Linked DNA regions of Drosophila melanogaster. The protein of the gene in region 3 purifies or fractionates together with the protein of the main gene of each other region. This does not show direct contact. Each region holds a gene or a part of one and is shown on either strand. Other genes may lie near its edges. The genes, in order: Pglym78, Ald1 and tn.

What was found.
Region 1: the proteins of tn (region 3) and Pglym78 purify together in Drosophila melanogaster (affinity purification with western blotting; one study listed by BioGRID). This does not show direct contact.
Region 2: the proteins of tn (region 3) and Ald1 purify together in Drosophila melanogaster (affinity purification with western blotting; one study listed by BioGRID). This does not show direct contact.

The regions. Positions count from the first base shown.
Region 1 is NT_033777.3:29,144,614-29,151,378, forward strand, and holds Pglym78 (phosphoglyceromutase 78), read left to right. Parts: upstream 1-3,634; 5' UTR 3,635-3,836; coding exon 3,837-3,939; intron 3,940-4,395; coding exon 4,396-4,893; intron 4,894-4,955; coding exon 4,956-5,122; 3' UTR 5,123-5,288; downstream 5,289-6,765. Other genes in the region: superdeath (suppressor of ER stress-induced death), read left to right, coding at 19-224, 291-599, 660-885; CG14511 (uncharacterized protein), read right to left, coding at 1,220-2,188; CG11882 (uncharacterized protein), read right to left, coding at 2,580-3,267, 3,338-3,441; eIF2D (eukaryotic translation initiation factor 2D), read right to left, coding at 5,327-6,618, 6,677-6,765.
Region 2 is NT_033777.3:26,258,158-26,264,922, reverse strand, and holds the start of Ald1 (aldolase 1), read left to right. Parts: upstream 1-3,331; 5' UTR 3,332-3,587; exon of another isoform or gene 3,588-3,769; intron 3,770-3,809; exon of another isoform or gene 3,810-4,021; intron 4,022-5,087; exon of another isoform or gene 5,088-5,121; intron 5,122-5,709; exon of another isoform or gene 5,710-5,936; intron 5,937-6,643; exon of another isoform or gene 6,644-6,765. UniProt on the Drosophila melanogaster protein: Enzyme of the glycolytic pathway. Glycolysis is essential in glial cells but not in neurons; neurons rely on the citric acid cycle for their energy needs, and on lactate and alanine secreted into the hemolymph by glial cells to fuel it.
Region 3 is NT_033778.4:18,983,957-18,990,721, reverse strand, and holds the start of tn (thin), read right to left. Parts: upstream 3,379-6,765; 5' UTR 3,031-3,378; intron 1,339-3,030; exon of another isoform or gene 1,034-1,338; intron 947-1,033; 5' UTR 856-946; intron 1-855.

The DNA.
Region 1 (6,765 bases), on a different chromosome or scaffold from region 3:
CATTTCTGATTCTCACAGAACTATCTGCTTAAGCAGTTGAAGAAAGTCTACGACCAGGTGGGCTTTAAGGACTCGCAGGACGAATCAGAGGACATCCTGGTGAAGCTGAAGCGTGCCGATATTCTGAGCATGGCCTGTCATTTAGGTCACCAAGAGTGCATCGCGGAGGCGAGCAGGCACTTCCAGAACTGGATGCAGACGCCGAATCCAGATTCAAATAATCCGTAAGCAATAAACGAAGTAATTAATACACTCAACACAATTCCAATAAATTATTACTTCCTTTTCAGCATTGTGCCAAATCTCAGGGGAGTCGTTTACTGCTCTGCGATACAATACGGCACCGAGTACGAATGGGACTTTGCTTTCGAGCGCTTTTTGAAGACGAACGTGCCTGGGGAGAAGGATTTGCTGTTGAATGCACTTGGCTGCTCCAAGGAGCCCTGGTTGCTTTATCGTTTCTTGCGTCGCGGCATTTCCGGACAGCATATCCGGAAACAGGACTTGTTCCGGGTATTCGCAGCAGTTTCCACCACGGTAGTGGGCCAGAACATAGCCTTTGATTTTCTGCGCAACAACTGGCAGGAGATCAAGACCTAGTAAGTGGCGAAATTGTCGCTTTATTCCGTGCATTACTAAAGGGTTTGCATTTTTTCCAGCATGGGCTCACAGATGTCCAGCATCCACACGCTGTTCAAGTTCGCCACGAAGGGCTTCAACTCCAAGTTCCAGCTGGGCGAATTTGAGAACTTCGTGAAGGACGCCCACTGGGACTACGACAGACCCGTGCAACAGATCGTGGAGCACATCGAGACCAGCGTCGACTGGATGAACAAGAACTACAAGTCGATCGTGCGGTGGCTGGAGAACGAGGCGCAAGCGTAAGGAACGGATTCTGCGGCTTGGCTGGATCAAGGCTGCAGCAGTATTAGATTTCGCAGCTGCAACTGCATGGGTTGGGCCACCAATGCATTTATGTGTAATATTTATGTCGCGTGTTTTACCAATTCAGAGTCGCCAAAGAGAGAAAGCCCTTGGCAGATCGTCCAGAGCATCACGTTTTTCATTACTTTTAATGTATGCCTTCTTTTCATAACAATTATGAGTCTTGTAATTTTAATTTGTACTTAAATGTAATTGTAAATGTAAATGGAATTATAACATTGTTCGTCACAAAAAAGTTTTGGAAAGCCTATTCCTGTTTCACAGCCTGGTTTTTTCATTTCGGAACTCTGATCACATTTGCAAACATCAAGGTGCCCACAAAGACTAGCGCGGTGCCCAGCCAGTGCCACCAGGTGAAGGGATTTCGGAAGTATACGATCGAAAAGACCAGCGAGATGAACTTGCGGAGTGTGAGGATCAGAGTCACCGTCAGCGAGCTGCACTCCGTGGTCAGGGTGTAAACGGAGCTGATGCACAAATGCTGCGCAAGCACGTTGCCCAATAAGTATAGCAGGATTAGGGGCACTGCCACGCCCAGGAGGGGCAACTGGTAGGACTCGCCCGTGAACGCCAAAAGCCAGTGCGTCCGTATGTCGTCATGCATGAGCAGGAAGGCGGGCAGCGGCAACAGGTGGGTGTAATACAACGCTTCCCTGGCGCACTTGCCATGACGTCGATACAGCAACTCCTGTGTAATTCCCATGTAGGAGGAAACAAATAGAGCCAGCACCAAGAGTGCCACGCCCAACAGCCACCAGAACGTATCCGCCTCGGCGCCACTATCCAAATTCTCCATCTTACCCACCAAATCCGGACTGGAGAAATATGTGCAGACGAAAATGCCCACGCTGATCATGAGCACCGATATGTACTGACTCAACCGGTAACTCCTCTTCAGGATCAACGTGCACAGGCACATGTTGGAGATCAGCGAACCGCCGCGTATGATCATGTGCAGTGTCATTGGAACTTTGAACTTGAACACGTAGTTGTTGCATACGCTGGTCAGGAAAAACATGGCCACGAGGAGCGCATAGTCGCGCAGGCTGATCACTCTCTGGGCCAGGCCAAACTTCGAGGTGAAGATGAAGCCCTCGAGGGCAATAAATGCAAACTGGGCGCCAGTTATAAGGTTTCCAGCGCCGGGATCCAGTTTAACCAGGAGCTCCAAGAAGACGACGCCACTGCAGCAGCCCAAGAAAACGCCGCAGATGGCCGAAATAGCGCGGATGGATAAATTCATGAACTCGCGCAACGAAAGTAGACGATTCCCACCAACTTTAACCTACGATCTGGGCCATGACGAGCTTTTAAGCCAACTTACTTTCTCTTCGGCCATACAAAACGTAAACAAATGCAACAGGTGGTTATCGATAAAGTTCGGTTCGGGCACAGCTGATGTTGGTCTATCGAAAGTGGTTGAAATTCAAATATTCCAAGCGAAAAAGAAAAAATTTATGATTTTAAGAGAAGAATATTTTATTTAATGTACATTACATTCAAAACCAAACTTAAATATGTTGCCTAATCACATTCGAAATATTCGCACCAACAGTCTTTTACAACAATTACAAAATACAATGATGACAATGCTAAGAAAGAAATTACAGATTAGCAAATTAATGGTATATTACTTATTTTTCCTTTTCCAGCAAGGCAATAATTTTGTTTAACTTTTCCGTCTGCTGGGCCTCGAAGTTGTCCAGTCTCTTAGACACTAACAGCGTCAGCTTCTCAAATCTCATGTCGATGTGCTCCTTGAGGATTGCAACATCGGTGGAAGGCGGTGCAGTCTCTTGGGTTTGGTCCTTCGCCTGCGGGGAATAGCCCTTCATCAGGCTCATGAACTGCTCGAACTTTTCGGCCTGCTCCTCCTTCTTCAAGGGACTCGTGCCACCCCTTTGCAGCAGCTCTTGGATTCGCTGCGCATCCATTGGCCTGGGCAACTGGGTGGTTATGCCGTTGGGATTCGGCGCCACCTGGAGCAGGGCTCCGTAAACGCAGATCTCGCTGGCCGAGGTGAGCATCTTCAGGTTTATGTCATTTATCCCGGATCGGTCGATTTCCATGTCATAGCGATAGGGTCGCACCGCAACCTCTGGGTCCTCATCGTCGACGCAAGTGCCGTAGATGGTCTCGCAGTACTCCTGCAAGGGTCCAATGAACAGCTCCACCTTGGGAGCGCTGCAAATCAGGGTGAGCGCGGCGATTTTGAAGCGGTTCGGGATCTGGAAGCGCAGCTCACAAGGCGGCGGCGGATCCGCCGACTGCATGGAAAACAGCACGGCGCGATTCTCGTCGATCACGTCGTCCAAGTCGGGCCTGCGGACAAAGGAGGTTTCAAAATTACTTGATAAAAACCAGTTTCGGGGCGTGGAATCCTTTGTCTCACTTCACAAAGACGTCTTCGTCGGACAAGCGGGTGGCCACCAGTTGGTCCAGCCCGTTGCCCGACAGCTGGGGCCAAGTGCAGCGCGCGGTGACCTTTTCGCACATGCTTTAAGTGACAAAAAGTTGGAATTTATGGGAGCAAAATTTAAAAACAGCCAAATTTAAAAACCAAAACACGAATATAGTGATGACAAACGCGAGCGATAACATCTGCGCGGGGGATGCCAACCTGTTGCACAGCGCAAACTAATTGGACATTTGAAGGTAGCTTGACGCGCTATTCCAATAAGACCATACTCCGGAGTCCAATCAGAGAAGGCACCGCATCTGCGCACTACGTTTTTCCAACAGAACGGCAATATCGCGGCCTGACAGCTGCGACCTTGGACGGCTCCCTTGTAGGTCAAACTTCAGCAGAATTCCCACATATTGCAGTCGCAGCAAGGCGGCAGCTTAAGAACGAGTACACAATTATCCGCAGAGTGATCAACGCAGCTAAAATGGGCGGCAAGTACAAGATCGTGATGGTGCGCCACGGCGAGTCCGAGTGGAACCAGAAGAATCAGTTCTGCGGCTGGTACGACGCCAACCTCAGCGAAAAGGGTGAGTGATTACATCAATTTGAAATTTAAACCTCATATGTGGGATTAAAAATCTGATGTACATCTAGTTTCCAATCGATGATCCTTTGCTTTGATCAGTTTCACAATAGTATTCCTTTTCATTTACCCAAATTAATCTTCATTGACCTAGTGCAACATTATCTCATTCAAACTTTTCTGTGATAAAAATAGGTCTCTACAAACAAAAGCTTTCCAGTGCAATTTTCAGAAGCATCAAAATTCTAGTTTGTTACACTTTAAAGTCAAAAATTTGCCATCTCATATGTTTCTAAAGTTCAGATTATGCTTATGAGCATAATTTGATAGGTTATCGCCTTTTTTTAACCCTAGTAATCAAATTAAATTAAACGCATGCCTTTCAATTAGATTAAATTGGCTTACGTTCGTTACCCAACACGGCGTATACTTAATGTTCGCTAAACATTTGCCCAAACAGGTCAGGAGGAGGCCCTAGCCGCCGGCAAGGCCGTCAAGGATGCCGGCCTGGAGTTCGATGTGGCCCACACCTCGGTGCTGACCCGCGCCCAGGTGACGCTGGCCAGCATCCTGAAGGCCAGTGGCCACAAGGAGATCCCCATCCAGAAGACTTGGCGCCTGAACGAGCGCCACTACGGTGGACTCACTGGCCTGAACAAGGCCGAGACCGCCGCCAAGTACGGCGAGGCCCAGGTGCAGATCTGGCGTCGCAGCTTCGACACCCCGCCACCACCGATGGAGCCGGGCCATCCGTACTACGAGAACATCGTCAAGGATCCCCGCTACGCCGAGGGTCCCAAGCCCGAGGAGTTCCCCCAGTTCGAGTCCCTCAAGCTGACCATCGAACGCACACTGCCCTACTGGAACGACGTCATCATTCCCCAGATGAAGGAGGGCAAGCGCATCCTGATCGCTGCCCACGGCAACAGCCTCCGTGGCATCGTCAAGCATTTAGACAGTGAGCATGGGAGACATAACATATATCATATCATCTTTTTACCATATCCTTGTCCAATCCAGACCTTTCTGAGGACGCCATCATGGCCCTAAATCTGCCCACGGGCATTCCGTTCGTCTACGAGCTGGACGAGAACTTCAAGCCGGTGGTGTCCATGCAGTTCCTCGGCGACGAGGAGACCGTGAAGAAGGCCATCGAGGCTGTGGCCGCCCAGGGCAAGGCCAAGTAAGCACGCAGGCCACACCTCATGAGAATCCACTCAAATACGGCACAAGTCAGAGCATTCTGATTACGCTTCTGTTCAAGATGTAGCCAATCCCATTCGTTGTTGTTGTTCGCGTAGCAGTAATTGGTTCATCCCCACTACAGTTAATAAATAATTTATTATTACACTCAAGAGGACAGGCGGAGGAGGCTTCATTTATTGTCCGGCTCACTTCTTCTTATTCTTCTTGCCGTCCTTGGCCAATTCCAGGCCCAGGATGCACTTGGGCGGCACCTTGTACGTTTCCGTGAGCAGCGTGTGCACAAATCGCACCTGGTTGCCCTGGATTTGCAGCTGCTCGTGCTTTTGGTGCGGCAGTTTCACCACACTGGTGCTGGCGGCGGCTCCCTGCTTGCACAGCTTGATGAACTCGGCCAGGATGATGCCGTACGCCTCGATGTTGCTGACCAGCGTCACCTTCTTGTTGCCCGATCGCGTGGCCAGGGACATCTGGATGAGGGGCTTCCCGCTCGTATCTTTGCCGCTGCACATCTGGTAGGAGTGCTCCATCTTGCTGGTGATGAGGGAGCACATCTCGCTTAGCGAAACCTCTCTGTTACCATACAGCTCGATCAGAGTGTCGTCGGGGCGCACCAGCTTGGTCAGCGGATGGAGGAGACCATGTTTGCTCACGTACTCCCGCACAATCTTCTTGATCTGACCCGCCGGGATTCCCTCGCCGCGCTTGTAATTCAGCTTGGTGAAGAAGGCCGCCGTAACATCGGTCACTATGTACATCTCCTTCAGCTCGGAGTGGAACAGGGGCGTCTCGGACGCCGCTCCATTAGCTTCGCTTGCCTTGACATCGGTTATAAAGTTCACCACTTCGGGGTGCTCCAGGTCCACAGATGTGATTTTATCCACTCCCTTGCTCTCCTCCCGCACCACAATGAATCCTTGGTCCACCATCTCGGCCAGAAAGTTGGAGAGCTTTTTGTAGCGCGTCTTCTTCAGGTCGATTTGCTCCGTGGCCTCCGTGACCACATAGAGTCTGTAGAAATTGCTCGTCAGCAGAGGCAGGGGCAGCTTCTTTCCATGGTTTTTCAAGGCGGAGAGGAAGGCATTCTTGAGTATAAGTTCTGGTGAGGCTTCCTCCACGGCTTCTTCGTCGGACTCGGGAGCTTCCTGGCTTTCCAAGGTCAGAGCAGCAGTTTCCGTTTCCAGTTCCTCGGTTTGGGCCACCGTAGCGAAGGTCACAGGAGCGGGAGTAGCTGGGCTGGCGGTCTTTCTCCTTTCCGTCTCAGACCCAAGAGCAGGGAAATCCTCGCCAGACAAGGCCTTTGTCTTGACCAGCGGGATTTGCTGCACCAGACTGGGCTCATGCGACCAGAGCTTGTCCCCAAAGAGGTGGAGCATCTTGATGGCCACACCGTGACCTCCGCACATGTACAGTTCATCGCTGGAGCGAGCCAACTGGCCCACGCCCACCGCAGATTTGTTGTTTGTGAGGTTTACGGCCACTGAAAAAGACAATGAGATCAATACTCGTTACCTGGGGAATCCCAAGCAGATACCCACTCAACTGTCCCTTTTTGAAGTGCCCGTACATGCTCAGTCCCACGCCCAGGGGCACCACTCCGGGCAGCATGAGATCCGCTCCGTTCGTC
Region 2 (6,765 bases), on a different chromosome or scaffold from region 3:
AGCTAATACCTATGATATGCTATTCTTGATATACATATATATAACATACAAGAGCACCATGCCTAAACATTCGAAAATATAAACTTTTTTACAATGCATATGCATATAGTAGATATATACATAAATTAAAAGAAACGGGACCCATATGGCGAAATAAAATAACATTAGAAATACAAAGGGCTCAAATCAAACTTTAACAAGGATGTCCCATACATGTGTCGGTGTATTGTGCTTCTATCGTTGTTTGTTCGCTCATTCTTGTTTGTCCGCAAACAAGCGAAACTGAACACAAAAATTGAATGGGATTTTTCCGAGGACCGGAAAAGCGGCAAGAGCAAACCGCACAAATGCCAATGGAATGACAACCAACCTAGGGGCATGCGGAATGGCCTAAGAATGAATTGAAATTATTTTACAACATTTTCATGTTTCTTGCCATTTGTTTGATTTGCCTCGACCTTCGCCTTCAGGTCACCCCTTTATTGTTTTTATTTCCCTTTTTTTGTATGCATAATTTAGGCTCGAGTGGAGGCCAATTGCACGCGTAAGAAACAAATGAATCCCTCAAAAGAATTGGTTGACCCAAAATAAAACGACATATGTTGCGAAATACCATAAGAAATTTGAGAAAAAATGGCCTAGCAGATGTCAAATTATTGAGCAGTTTTTGTTTTAAACATGCTGGACATAGCACTCGCACATAGTATTTTTTAGTACAGACATTTAAGTTGTCATCCGATTGAATTTGTTTTTAAAACTAACAAGCCAATATATGTATTCTCGAATAGAAACATCTATTTTTGGGAATTTGTATGCTTAAGATTTTATCCACAATTTTTCAATCAAAAATGTTTACCCATCGAGTAAAAAGTAATTAGTTTGCAATGCCTACATTTTCATTTCATATCGGATACTGCTCCATTGAATGACGTTCTCTATTTAATTGAACTCAATCTCCAAATAGCTTTGCAAATCTAGGCTGACGAATAATAGGAAAACGCAATTTGTATCATTTCAAGAGGGATTCCTGAACAAAGATACAAAATTCAAACTGCCAGAGACCATAAACACTTTGTTCCGACCAAGACTAAAAATGAAAAGAGGAAAAGGTAACAAGCATTTATAAATGCCGCAACAAAAGCTAGTGAAATGTGAGCCGGAGACTGGTATGAATTTCGAATTTTGGTTAAGCTATAGCTACTGGGGCGTGGCAGAAAAAGGGGCGGATTAGGTTCAAAGCAAATTGTTGCGGAAGGCAGGAATCAACATTATCATCAGCAAGCAGGATGCTGTTCAGTCGGTTATGGGATACTCATTCTCATTTTGGGCAAATGCAGATGAGGACGAGACAAAACACAGACACAAGTTTAGGGAAGGGGAGGCTTTTCCCTGTGTGTGTGTGCGTGTGTTTGTATATGTGTGGGTGGAGGCGTGGGGGAGTGTTTTGTGTCGCCTTCCGCATATTAATGAGCCAAGTGCCACAAAGCCAAGCTAAACGCGCTCTCATCAATTGCTCAATATTATGACTCTGGCTGGCAGAAATCTGCATACGAAACCCATATTGGTATGTATGCTGAATACTCAGCAAGCCCCGGGAAAACTATTTTGCATTCTTTGTTGCACACATTCTTTTGGTTTTCGTGAACTCTTATAAGAAGAAAAATGGAATTTAAGAAAAAACTATTTCAAATGTCCTTTAACAAAAAGACTAGATAAATAGAAATATAGTATAACCTAACTATAGTTGATCAAAAACTTTTCTAGCTATTTTGCCCTAATCTTTAATCTTGCCATTTATTGTAAAGCAAAAAAAAGGGTTCCATCAATATTAGTTTTAGAAATGAACATTTTTCTGTAGTTTTTTGAAAGATACTTTATAATCTGATCTACATCAACTTTTAATGAGTATACCAAATCGAACCAAATCGTTTCTTACCAAAACTGGGAAAACAATTTATCATTCTTCTGAACCACAAATTCACTCCTCTTTTTCGTATCTCCTCTTTAATTTAATATGAGTTAAAACACAGCTGGTGCTTGAATTTCAGACTCTTATGCACTCCACTTTCGGTTCACATAACTAGAATAATCAGAAATTATTTCGCTTTGGCTGCACCACAGTACGTAGCGTATACGCCGCGGTGTACGCGGGTGTGCGAAGGAGACGCGCAGCGCAAGTGGAACGCAACACGTGTTGGGCGACAGGTGCCGAGCGTTTGGCACACAACTCGACCGACCGACGCACGAATTCGAACTGAAAACTGAACCAGAATCCCCAAACGAAAATGGGAAGCGAGTGAGGCAGGCACGAGAACCGAAACAGGACGAAGGACGAAGCCACGAGGCACAAAGAGAGCGAGGACAATGAAGAGCACTGTGGCTAAGGTTCCTTCATTAGGTAAGCATATTATTTCATATATATCTAGCAACTGTATCACTTTAACTAAAGAAACCTAAGCATAGATAGTCTATGAAATATCTAAAATCCTTTAAATGTTATAACCCGTTCCACAGTCATTCTTTTCATTCAGAAAACTGTGCCAAAGTCATATTAGGACATTTTAAAGAGCGAAACGATTTTCTCTTTCGCTCGAACAGATTGTATGGCAGAATAGGGGGATATTTTCTCAAAGTTTGCGCTCTCAATCAGCTGTTTCCAGTGCCAGGGGGTTGAGTCCTTTAACATTGCAGGAGGTCAGGCATGGCGTGAAAGTCGCTTATCCTAGCTGCTGCTTCTGGCACCCCTCGTTTTTGTTGCGCTGCCGCTGGAGCGCCTGATGCTGATGGTCACGAAAAATTCATTGACCGCCCCAAGTAAAGCAGGTCGCTCGTAATTAAGGTTAAAATACACCAAATTAATTATTCTACCCTCTTTTCAATGCATAAGTAGAATAGGAAATGTTGTTGACAGGTTAAAAGATACAAATACTTGCAAAGATAACACTTCATTTTTAATGCTTTTTTATAGTTTTGGGCAAGAAAGCTTGGCAAGACATATAGTTCACTTGATGAGGATGATTTGGGATGACTATATCCAGCAAGACGCGACATTAAGTTTGTGGCACTTTATTGTTTTTAACATTTCAATACTATTTCAATATATATCGTATAGTGTTTGAGATCTTAAGATAAATTATTTATTATGTTAATACGCTTTGAGCACATTTCATTTAAATTTTTACCGCCCAAACGAAAGCTAAAGCTTCTCAAAGCTGTCTAATAAGTTTTACAGCTTATCTGTTAGGTTCCATCCCCCACTAAAAGCTCCCAGAATGAGCTTTATTTTGGATACCTTTCGTTTGGGGATCTGGGAATTTAAAGCGCTTGGCTCAGTCGGTTGCCCAACACCGTCGGCGACGACCTCCAAACAACCTTTTGGGGTCTCGCTCGGCATGTCTCGCTTATTTCGCTTTGGAATTTCACGTTGACGCCGCAGTCAGCGGTAGCAGAGGCATCGGCAGCGGCAGTAGCAGCGACACGGGCCGAAAATAAAAGCGTTAACCGCTCTCCTCCAGTGCAGCAGCAGCAGCGGACCCAGCCAGTAGCCAGCAGCTAATCACCACATCCCAGATTCAGTTTCCAGTTCGGTGAGTGGGCGTCATACGCAGTGAACAGAACCCCTGAGCCCCTTAAAAAAAATTCAGATATTTTTCCCCCCATTGGCGGCAGTGCAGTTGAAAAGTCGCGTAATCGTTCCCATTTCTCTGGGTGTTTCGTAATCCAAATCTACAGAGCAGCAGCGAATCTGTAGGCGTGTTAGTGTTAGTGAGTGCGTATTCGAATATAGTTTAATTATTCTCTAATCTTACCATTTCCGCGTGCTCGCCACTTTTATGACAAGTTCTAGAACCTCGAGGCTCTCGAGTGTTGTTGACCTATGCACCGCGGTTGAAGGAGTGGGGGGGCTACGCGAACTGCAGGCGATAAGAAGCCTTATCGGGTGACTTTTGGCTCACTTTCGTGAGTAGTAGTTTTCTCTACCGGCTCAACCGGCTCTCTTACTTTTCATCCGCTCTTTCATTCGAGTTCATTTGCTTGTTGGCAGGCTTTCAACTGCAATTTGTAGTCGCCGCTGCGGTTTTTCTTTATAAATAGTTGGCGCAAATGTTAAATGTATGTACTATACATCGCGATATACATATGTATACTTTCCCATCGCTCTCTCGCTTAGACTTCAATTAGCCAACGTCATCGTAAATTCATCAGATTGTTGACGTCTTCTCATGATAGACGCAATATGCTTTTGTCTATTGCATTTTATACCTACCATTTAATTGAGATTTCAGTGAATGAAGGAGAGCAAACATTTTACCGATAGTTTGTAGAGAGTACATGAGAAAAGAGGGGCAGAAGTTTAAGGGTTGTTTTGAAACCTACAGAAAACAAGTTTTGGTACTCCAAAGGACTTCCTTTCAAGATCAACCTGATTAGGATTTTTAAGAAGAGTTTTGAACATTTAAAACAACCAATTTATGTTCCTTTGATCGTTTATATCAAGCTTTGGGAAATTTTATAATGAATATAATGGAATTATAGGTATACATTCTCATTGTAAAGTATAAGCTAATCGATGAAATAAGACTAGATAAGGTACATTGGCTTATCTAGTAAACAGTTACCACAACAAAGTTTTTGGGGTCACATAATAAGGGCATAGATAGAAGTATGGGAGTGCTCGAAGTTTCCTATTTTCAGACAAGTATACAATTATTACCACCCATGTTTACGGCTAATCAGTTGACGTCAGTTCGTAGTAGTAGTAGTAGTATTATCTCAACTGTTGGATGTTCTTTTGACCCACTGTCTGCGTTCAAGGAGGCCGGACCTAAAATCTCGTTATGATAATGCAAAACCTTTGGAACTAAAACGCAACTGGGGGCTCGTTTTTTCGTCGTTTTCGATTCAAAATTTTCACTGATAGCAAGCTCACGAATACATATAGACGGACATGTGGCGGTTTATTTTTATAAACGGTCTCTTGATAGGAACGTAAATTTATTTTGATTGTTTTTTGTTGTCATGCGTTGGCTGCTCTTCGTTCCTCTTTCTTTTTTGTCATCGTATATATTTCGCCTAGTTTTCGAAACATTTCAGTCTTCGATTGATTGCCGGCAAGTGTAGGTGGGTGTTGTCTGCTGAGTGAATCCGCAACATCTATAGATAATTCTATAGATAAGGGTGTACATACATATCTAGTGTCGTTCTGTGAAGTGTGTTTAGATAACTGTTTAGAAATTAATAGATGAAAAAATGATTTGTATTCTAGAGATATATTAATATATTCTTAAACTGTGCAGTATTTTTAATATATGCATATATCAAGCTTTTATAATATCTATCTGTTCTTAGGAACCACAAGCTATTCACGCGTGTACAAAGTGTTAAATATATGGCGTGGGAAATGTGGGGTCGATGTGGTAAACAATATTTCGCGATAAGTTGCGGAGGTCTAATCTCTTAACCTGACATTTATGCCATTCCCAGTCCTTGGCTCACTGTCAATGTCAAACAAGTATAAAATGGGTTTTTAGTCATCGCAGATGACTTCGTATCTGTATCTACATATTGCTGGACACTAGCTATCTCTATCGCACTTCACACGCGCCACACGACTTTCGGTTTTCAACAATTTCTATTCGCATTTCGTAAGCAACAAATTTCGCTGGCAACATTTGTTGCTAAGGCTTGTTGCTTGACCTTGTTCAATGTCAAGCGAAAATTCATGCGCCCTGCGTTGGCGTCGCTGCCTGCAGGAACAGCGCAGCAGCAGCGGCAATAAAAGTGAAAGTTACCACGTCACGCATTATGCGGGTGTGAAGAAGACAGCTGCATTCGGTTAGAGTGAGACACAAGATTCCATGACTTTGATTACATCAGAGGGAATTATTGCCGAGGTTTCCGTGACTTTGCTCAGTTACAAAAACATCATCGTCGAGGTTGGTTCGGATTTTTCTTTGTGATCTAAGCTTAAAACAATTGTTCGGTTTTTGCAAATAGTTTTTAGCAAATTACAGACACTATAAAATAAGACACTATATAATATTTCATTCCAAAAAGTGCAGTGATACTTTTCCAACTTTGTATAGTACAATCCAAGAGGATTTTTCTAAAATGTGAATTTTCATTGATGTTTGTGAGAACCTCTAAAAAAGCTCTATTAAAAGGCAACATTTTATATGTGAATGTTGAGAGTGTAGGACAAACCTAGAAAAAAAAAAATGTGAGAGAGAGAGAGCGAAGAGCTGCAGATATAGAGAAAAGCACGTTTTCCGTGCATGCGCCTTTAATCTCATTCAATCACCCGCTCTTTGCCATCGAATCAGCTGTGAAATACACTACCATGCAAAGCATTTATTATCTTCAATGGAAAAATATTTTTAAATTGGAAAAAACACCAGTGACATTGACCTGACACTGAAAACAAAATTATATAATACCGCATCATTAAACAACAGCATATGACTCAATGGCTCTAATCGGTTAACTCAGAGTTCCACTTTAAATAACTTGACCTTTACAAATATTCTTTTTATTTTATGGAAATAATAATTAGGTCAGTTCAGTAAAATAATCCAACACTTGATTGATAGCTATCTCTGTAGCCGTTGTTATCTTTTTCAGTAGGAACATATGTAACTTTGAGTTACTTGATTTTGGTTGTCAGACTGTGCGGATCGTATACGAAATTTTAGTCCAAATTTTTAGTTTTATTTTTTACCTCGAAATATTTCAAAATTCTGTGCTTACGCAATGGTTTCCAATCAT
Region 3 (6,765 bases):
TGGACATCGGCTACTTATTGGATTAACCGAAAAGATTTTCCTCCATTTAGTACGAATACATGCACGCACACTCTTGACGTCATCAACTGAGCTGATTTTCTCATTCGGACGCACGCCGGCATTTTCCATCTATATCTCATTGCTGGGCTATTTGTGTGCTTTTGTGTATCTCGCTGTAACGGGCCCTAAAAATAAATTTCATTGAAAATTGGAGCGAACATCGCTCGAATTCGCTGTTCCGTCAAACTAGTGGAACATTTCTCTGTGCCAAGTGAAAAGTTTCTACTTCCATTAGAAGTTTTCCCTTAACTTAAGTAGCAGTAAACCATTAGTTTGCTGCAATACGAACTAAAATTTCATATTCCATTCAAAAAGTTGTCCCTAAAAGTTACAATTAAGCTTTTTCTCAAACATGTTCAAAATATCTATCTGTATCTATTAACTACATATAATTGCATTCGGTAAGTAAGTAGGTTAAGTTCCCTACACAAACATTTGTTACTTTTACCAAAATAATTCTATCCAGTTTCGCAGTTTTTTTTTCTGTGCATGCTTCTCAAGGTCAGAACTTCGCTCCTCTAGCTCTGTATATATCATTCTATCTCCCTATGGGAATATGCCGAAAATAGAACTCACTAGCCCGGAATTCACAGACTGCAGTCTGCACTCCTAGGCCAAAAAGAAAAACAAATAAAGAAATGAAAACTGCACTGTATTTTTGGGCTATAAATAAACGGAGCAGACGGGAGAAGCAGATGCAATCGAAACTTTTTGAAATTTTAGCTGCACTCCCAAAGGAATACTATAGAAACTACAAAGTATTGTGACGTTCCAATTTCAGCGGTGATAACTTACGTTTCCAAGTGTTGTTTTCTTCTTATTGTCTACTTGGGTATCCGAGGCGCCCTTGAAAGGGGCCTGTTCCTTTGGCTGTTAACTCTGCTGGCTGAAATTAAAAAGAAAATATATTAAATTTAGAGCCAAAGGCAATTGTGAGTGAATTGTGGGGAGTGAGGGTCGAGTAGCCATTTACCTGGCCATTAACACGCTGCGCATAAGCCGCATCATGCCAACTTAATTATACGGCCTCAAAGGCTGCGGCACGCAAAACAATGATGAAGGCGGGTGGTGAAAGTTGGAATTCATTGGATGGCATGGGATTGGATGGGATTGGATAGTATTGAATGGGATTCGATTGGGCGCGGTTGACAGTCGAAGATAATGAAGTTCGGAATGCGCTTAAGGTTCGCTTATTGTGCACTGCGACAGATAAGCTCCTCGGTGGGCCACACACTCTTGACCAGGTTAATGAATAATCAGCTGGGGTCGAGCATATGGCTGCGAAGGTAGATCTTTTTAATTAACTTGCCGTGGCCGAGTTCCTTTCGACCAAAGGAAACAATTAAACAATGGAAAACCAATTTCCGAAACTATAATAACATGATTACATCGGCGGTCTTTTGAGCATCGAACGCGTAAAGGGAATTTAATAGAAATTAATTGTTCACACAATTGCATTGATATCCCTTATAATTAATTTTCTTTAATGAGCACAATTCGGAGCTTCATTGCGTTACTAAAATGATACAGTAAAATGTGGCATGAAAAATTATACATCAATTCATACATTTTATGATGATTTCGTTTTTAGTATTATTGCAGATTGGTTTTATTTGCAATCACTAAGCTTTTGAATATAGCAATATTTAAACATAATACAGATTTCAGCAACCAACAAGTTGACTTAAAACAAGTGACTTAAAAACTTCAATAGCTCGGAAACATTTGGAATATTTTTCCATATTAGATTTTGGTAATATAAATGCTATTTGTCTGTTGAAACAAAAACTTTTCAACAAAAAGGTGTACAACTTTATGTAGTTTTTAAAATACCTTTAAATGAATGGATAAAGAAAATGAGACAACACTAAGAAATCATAAGCAATACATTTACTTTAAAGTTGCCAACGCGCTACTTTCGAGCAGTTTTTAATTTAAGTTGCAAAAGTGGCCAGTAAATTCGAATCAAAACTAGTTTAGGTGGATATCTATTGCCAGCGTGCTGCAATGGCACTTCTTTAATGCTGCCAGCGACCTTGAACTTCCGCCCAGCTGAAGCACACTCGAAAAGAGCGGAGGAGGGATGGGGTTGGAGGGCAGATGAAGTGAATTGAAAAGAGGCGAGTGCTCGCAATAAAGCTAAAAGGAAAACTGGAAAAAACTGTTGCCTACTTTCCGGCGGCACATAAATTTAAACCGCACACGCCTCTCTCACTTAATCTTCCGTATTATTTTTATTTTTATATTTCGAAACGAGAAATTAATTGTTTTGTGTGAGAGGTGTGAATATAAAAATAAATACGAGAAAGCCCACCACAAACATTCCAAATGGATGGCGAGAATGGGAGAAGGAACAAGCAAAAGCAAAACCGAAACCGAAACAAAAGCAAACAAAGCAATCAATGATAAGCGAGCAGCGGGCAAAAGACAAACACAAACAACAGAAATGGAAATAGAAAATCTCTGAAAATGTCGCTGATTGAATCGAACTAAAAATAAGGCAGCAACACGGCGTATGAGCAATGTGCGTCTCTGTGTGCGTGCCTGTGTGTGTGAGTGTGGGCAAATTATTGCCATGCTTTCTGATGAGATATGCACACACACACACACACACACACACACGTAATATAGCGTATAACAGATCCTCATCAACATATATTTGTATACATGATTATGTCAAAATTTGTTAATAAATTTTGAACGCGAAGCCGAAGGAGATGAAAATAATTTTGACAGCTTTTCACGAATGTGGGAGTGTGCACACGGTGGGATGTTGAGAAAGCGCAATTTTCAGCCAGGTGACATTTTCCCAAGCTCCTTCTCTCGCCGAGATTCTCACGCCTTTCGCCGTTTTCTCTCTTCTTTTTTTTACATAATCAGCAGCCATTGAATGCGTCGAGCTCATCTCCATTTGAATGCGTTTCCAAAAACGAGCTTAAAATCAGGACGTATCCACCCCGTTCGACTCACTTGCGTTGGCTTCCTCTATTTCCTGATGCTTCGCGAAACTTTTGCAAATTTATTCGCATGCCTTGGCGGCACAAGGACTTTCACTGACTTCACTTTCAAACTGAGGTACGATGTATTACCGCCTTGGCTCAAACCAACACTCGCGTCGCGATTACTGGTGCTTTTGGACGCACCCTCACGCACTGCGCGACAGGTGAAAGATCTTTGGGTAGATCTTTGCACCCCTCTATATACACTTAATAGATATATATATATGGATATAGGTGGTTGGGAATCGAACTGGGCTATAGCTATTATCGGCGTATCGGTCCGCACGTCCACTCGCGAGCGTGCCAGAAATGAAAATGAATGTTTTTCTCTGCTCGACTCTCGAACGCTTGATGATCAGCCGTTCTTGAGGTGAAATTTTATAAATATAACCTGAGGCAACAACAAAAGTGCCACAAATATTTCTGCGTCTTCTTCCCACTTTCACGTAGCACTTTTGTTGTTTCCCAGCTTCACCCGACCCCAACGAACCTGTGCAAGAATTATATACATATATACATATAATATAATATATGTACCATAATTGTCTGTAAGAATTCCTCTCGCTTTTTACAATGTCGCGCAGAAAGTCCAAGAGCGACAATATATTGTTCAATACGTATTCTTACCTGTTATTGTTCTGGCTTATTTCGCAGTTATTAGAGTGAGATTTTCACTTTTCTTTAGTCCAGCGGAAAGAAAAGCTGAGGAAAAGATCGACGCCCACGCATTTATCTGGCAGAATGATTCATTTTCGAATTTTTTTAAATATTTATAGAAATATTGATACTTATATAGAATAAGGAAATTGATGTCTTAGCAAATATCGCGCGAGTTTTATGTAGTTATAGAATTCAGCATAATTAAAAGTGTTAACAGAAAGACAAATGATTTAGAGATAGGTAGGTTTTTTACTCTAGACATCATAATAAAATATATACGCTTAAGATTTGTCATTGAATTATTAATATTTATTTCATCTTAATTTATTAAGTTCTGTTTCTAAGCACTTGTTTACGTAATATATATTAATAATATGCCTAAGAAGATCAACATTTGTTACTATGTTGTCTTAAATCATTTAGTTCTTTAATATTACTTATTTTTCGCTTATTATTCTATAAATACCAAATTCCTCTCCGTCATCACATGCAGTATGATTGGTCTGCATTTAGCCATCCTCGCCAGACATTCGGTCTTTTGTTCGGTCATTTGCTTGTCCCACATGACATCTTGTCAATAGGCTGATGAATCGGGTTAGCCGTTAATATATTTTCGGAAAAAATAGCGAGCTAAAACAAAGCCGCAGCCGCAGTCAAAACAAAAACAAACCGAAAAAATGCGAATTATGAGCGGGCCAAAACAAAGATGTCAACACGTTCGCCAAGGCAGCTCAAGTTGTTGACGGACTCTAGGTCAGTCCCACTGACAACGCCATAGCCACAGCTATATCCTCTATTACACGCTGAGAAAAAGTTACTAAAATGGTAACCAAATGTATTTTTTGAATATATATAACATACATAATTAGGTTTCGAACAGCATCTCTTCATCAATATAATATTTTGATGTCACTAATAAAAAGTTAAAGTGTGTGCCCCTCCTATTCGATGCTGATATAACGAAAATTATTAATTAACGATGTTCCTTTGAAAGTAATTAATTTATCAAACTGCTTTCCAAGAATTAACTAAGGATTCGTATATTTTCCATGTGCATGAGAATCACCGCTGGATTTGTGCGCAGTTGCTGGTTCTCGTGAAATTGAAATTGCGTATTGCGGACATTGCATTGTGAACACTGCAACAAGGCTATCGGAACGGCGACAATTGTATAGCACGAGTTAAGACCCATTTCCATTAGCGGAGCGTCCGAAATAGTGGCATCTATTCATTCCCAGCATATTTGAGAGCAACTCATTAGGCCCGAGCCATGATTAATTAGAACTGATGGATGGCCAATTGACGAATGGAAGGCATGGCTGCGGCGATGCGAGCCAGGAGCCAGCAGCCAGGACGCATTATTGATGGACACGTATGCTGGGAATCCGGAACCTCCAGTGAAAGCCACTCGACCAGGGGACACTTGGCATTGCCAGCCAGCGCCTCGTCCTAATTGCCCAAGAAAGGGCAGCCAATTCAGTCAACGCAGGAGCAACATGGTAAAGTAGCAATAATTACGAATTAGCAGACAATTTCAAGTATTAGCCAAGTCCAACTTACTAAGAGGGTGGTCGCAAAAGTTGCTAGTTGATTGGTATTTTACAGCAAAGTTTAATTGAAATCGGCCAGGGATTATGGCCCTGAAAATAAGCTTAGTTCAAGGGCTTTTGAAGTAAGCTAATCCATTTTGTTTTACAAAGAAAATAGCTACCAAGCTTATCTCTTTTCCTTGCAATAAGCTGTATTAAATTGATAAATTTAAAGGAGAGTCAAAAAAATATACCCAATATTGAAATTGATTCTTAAGCTTGAATTCCTGGGGGATTAAAATTTCAATTGAATTATGGAGAGTTAATTTGTGGAAAATCCATTTTCTAGGAATTTAAGCTTTTTTGCCAATGGATTCGCTTTCAGAGAAATCCCTTGTATATGTTTAAACTCGTTATGAACTGCTTAATTTTTCTTTAATTGATGCATATTTTCTATAAACTAAAGCATATTGACATTAAAGCTTTCCGCGAAATAATAATTGATTCAAATTGTTAAGCTTGAATTAGTGTGAAATTTACATTCTGTAAATTTATGCTACATTTTTCCAACCGTTTTCCGCTCAGAAAAATTCCTGTATAATGTTAAACACACATATTTAAACGCTTAAGCTTTAAGGGTACAATTTAATTTAACTATTAAAAATATTCTAGGCATTAAGCTTTTCAAGAATATTTAAAGCCATTTCATTATTTATTTTGCTTCCAACACGTTACTAAAAGATAAAAATTACTAAGTGGTTCCGGATTAAGAAACTGGCTAAGCACACCTCCACAAAGATATGTCCAACAGCAGGGGGCCCCCGAAAACAAACTATTTCCAGTCAGACAAATGGCGTTAAGCACATAATAACCAATTTCTCTAAATACGGCCATAATTATGAACGCCTACACACACTCTTACATCCAAAGAGTCCTGGCAAACACAAACTCACACACTCACACGCGAATGATCCTTGTGAAGTGGCGCTGCTGTTGTTCTTCTTGTTTCTGCCTACTTCATTTGGGCGCGCTTGTTCTCGAGACTCGAGAGTGAAAGTGAGAGCGGGAAAGGGAAAGCGAAAGTGAATGTGAAAGGCATAGGATGGGGTGAAAGTTGGTAAGTGAGAACGGGCAAGGGCAAGGATTTATCGTAATTAGGCATGCATGAGCATATGCTGTCGTCTAAGCTCAAGGATGACTCTCATCCTCCGCGATATTTTGTCGTGCAGTGCAAGAAATTTAATACCAATCGATCTTATATTTCCACAGTTTTAATAACTTATGATTTGAAAAATCTAAGGGACAAAAAAATGTTGTTTTTTTTTATTTTAAAATAGCTGTAGTACTTTTTTTTTTTAGTTTTATGATTTCCTTCATAAATAAGTGTACATGGTTGGCAAAATATTTCCCCCATTCAATGTCACCAATAAATTTTAGATAACTGAATCAATTGTATGCAGTTATTTATGAGTAACAATTATCGCAATTAAACCTTCATACTTAAATTTAATATATGT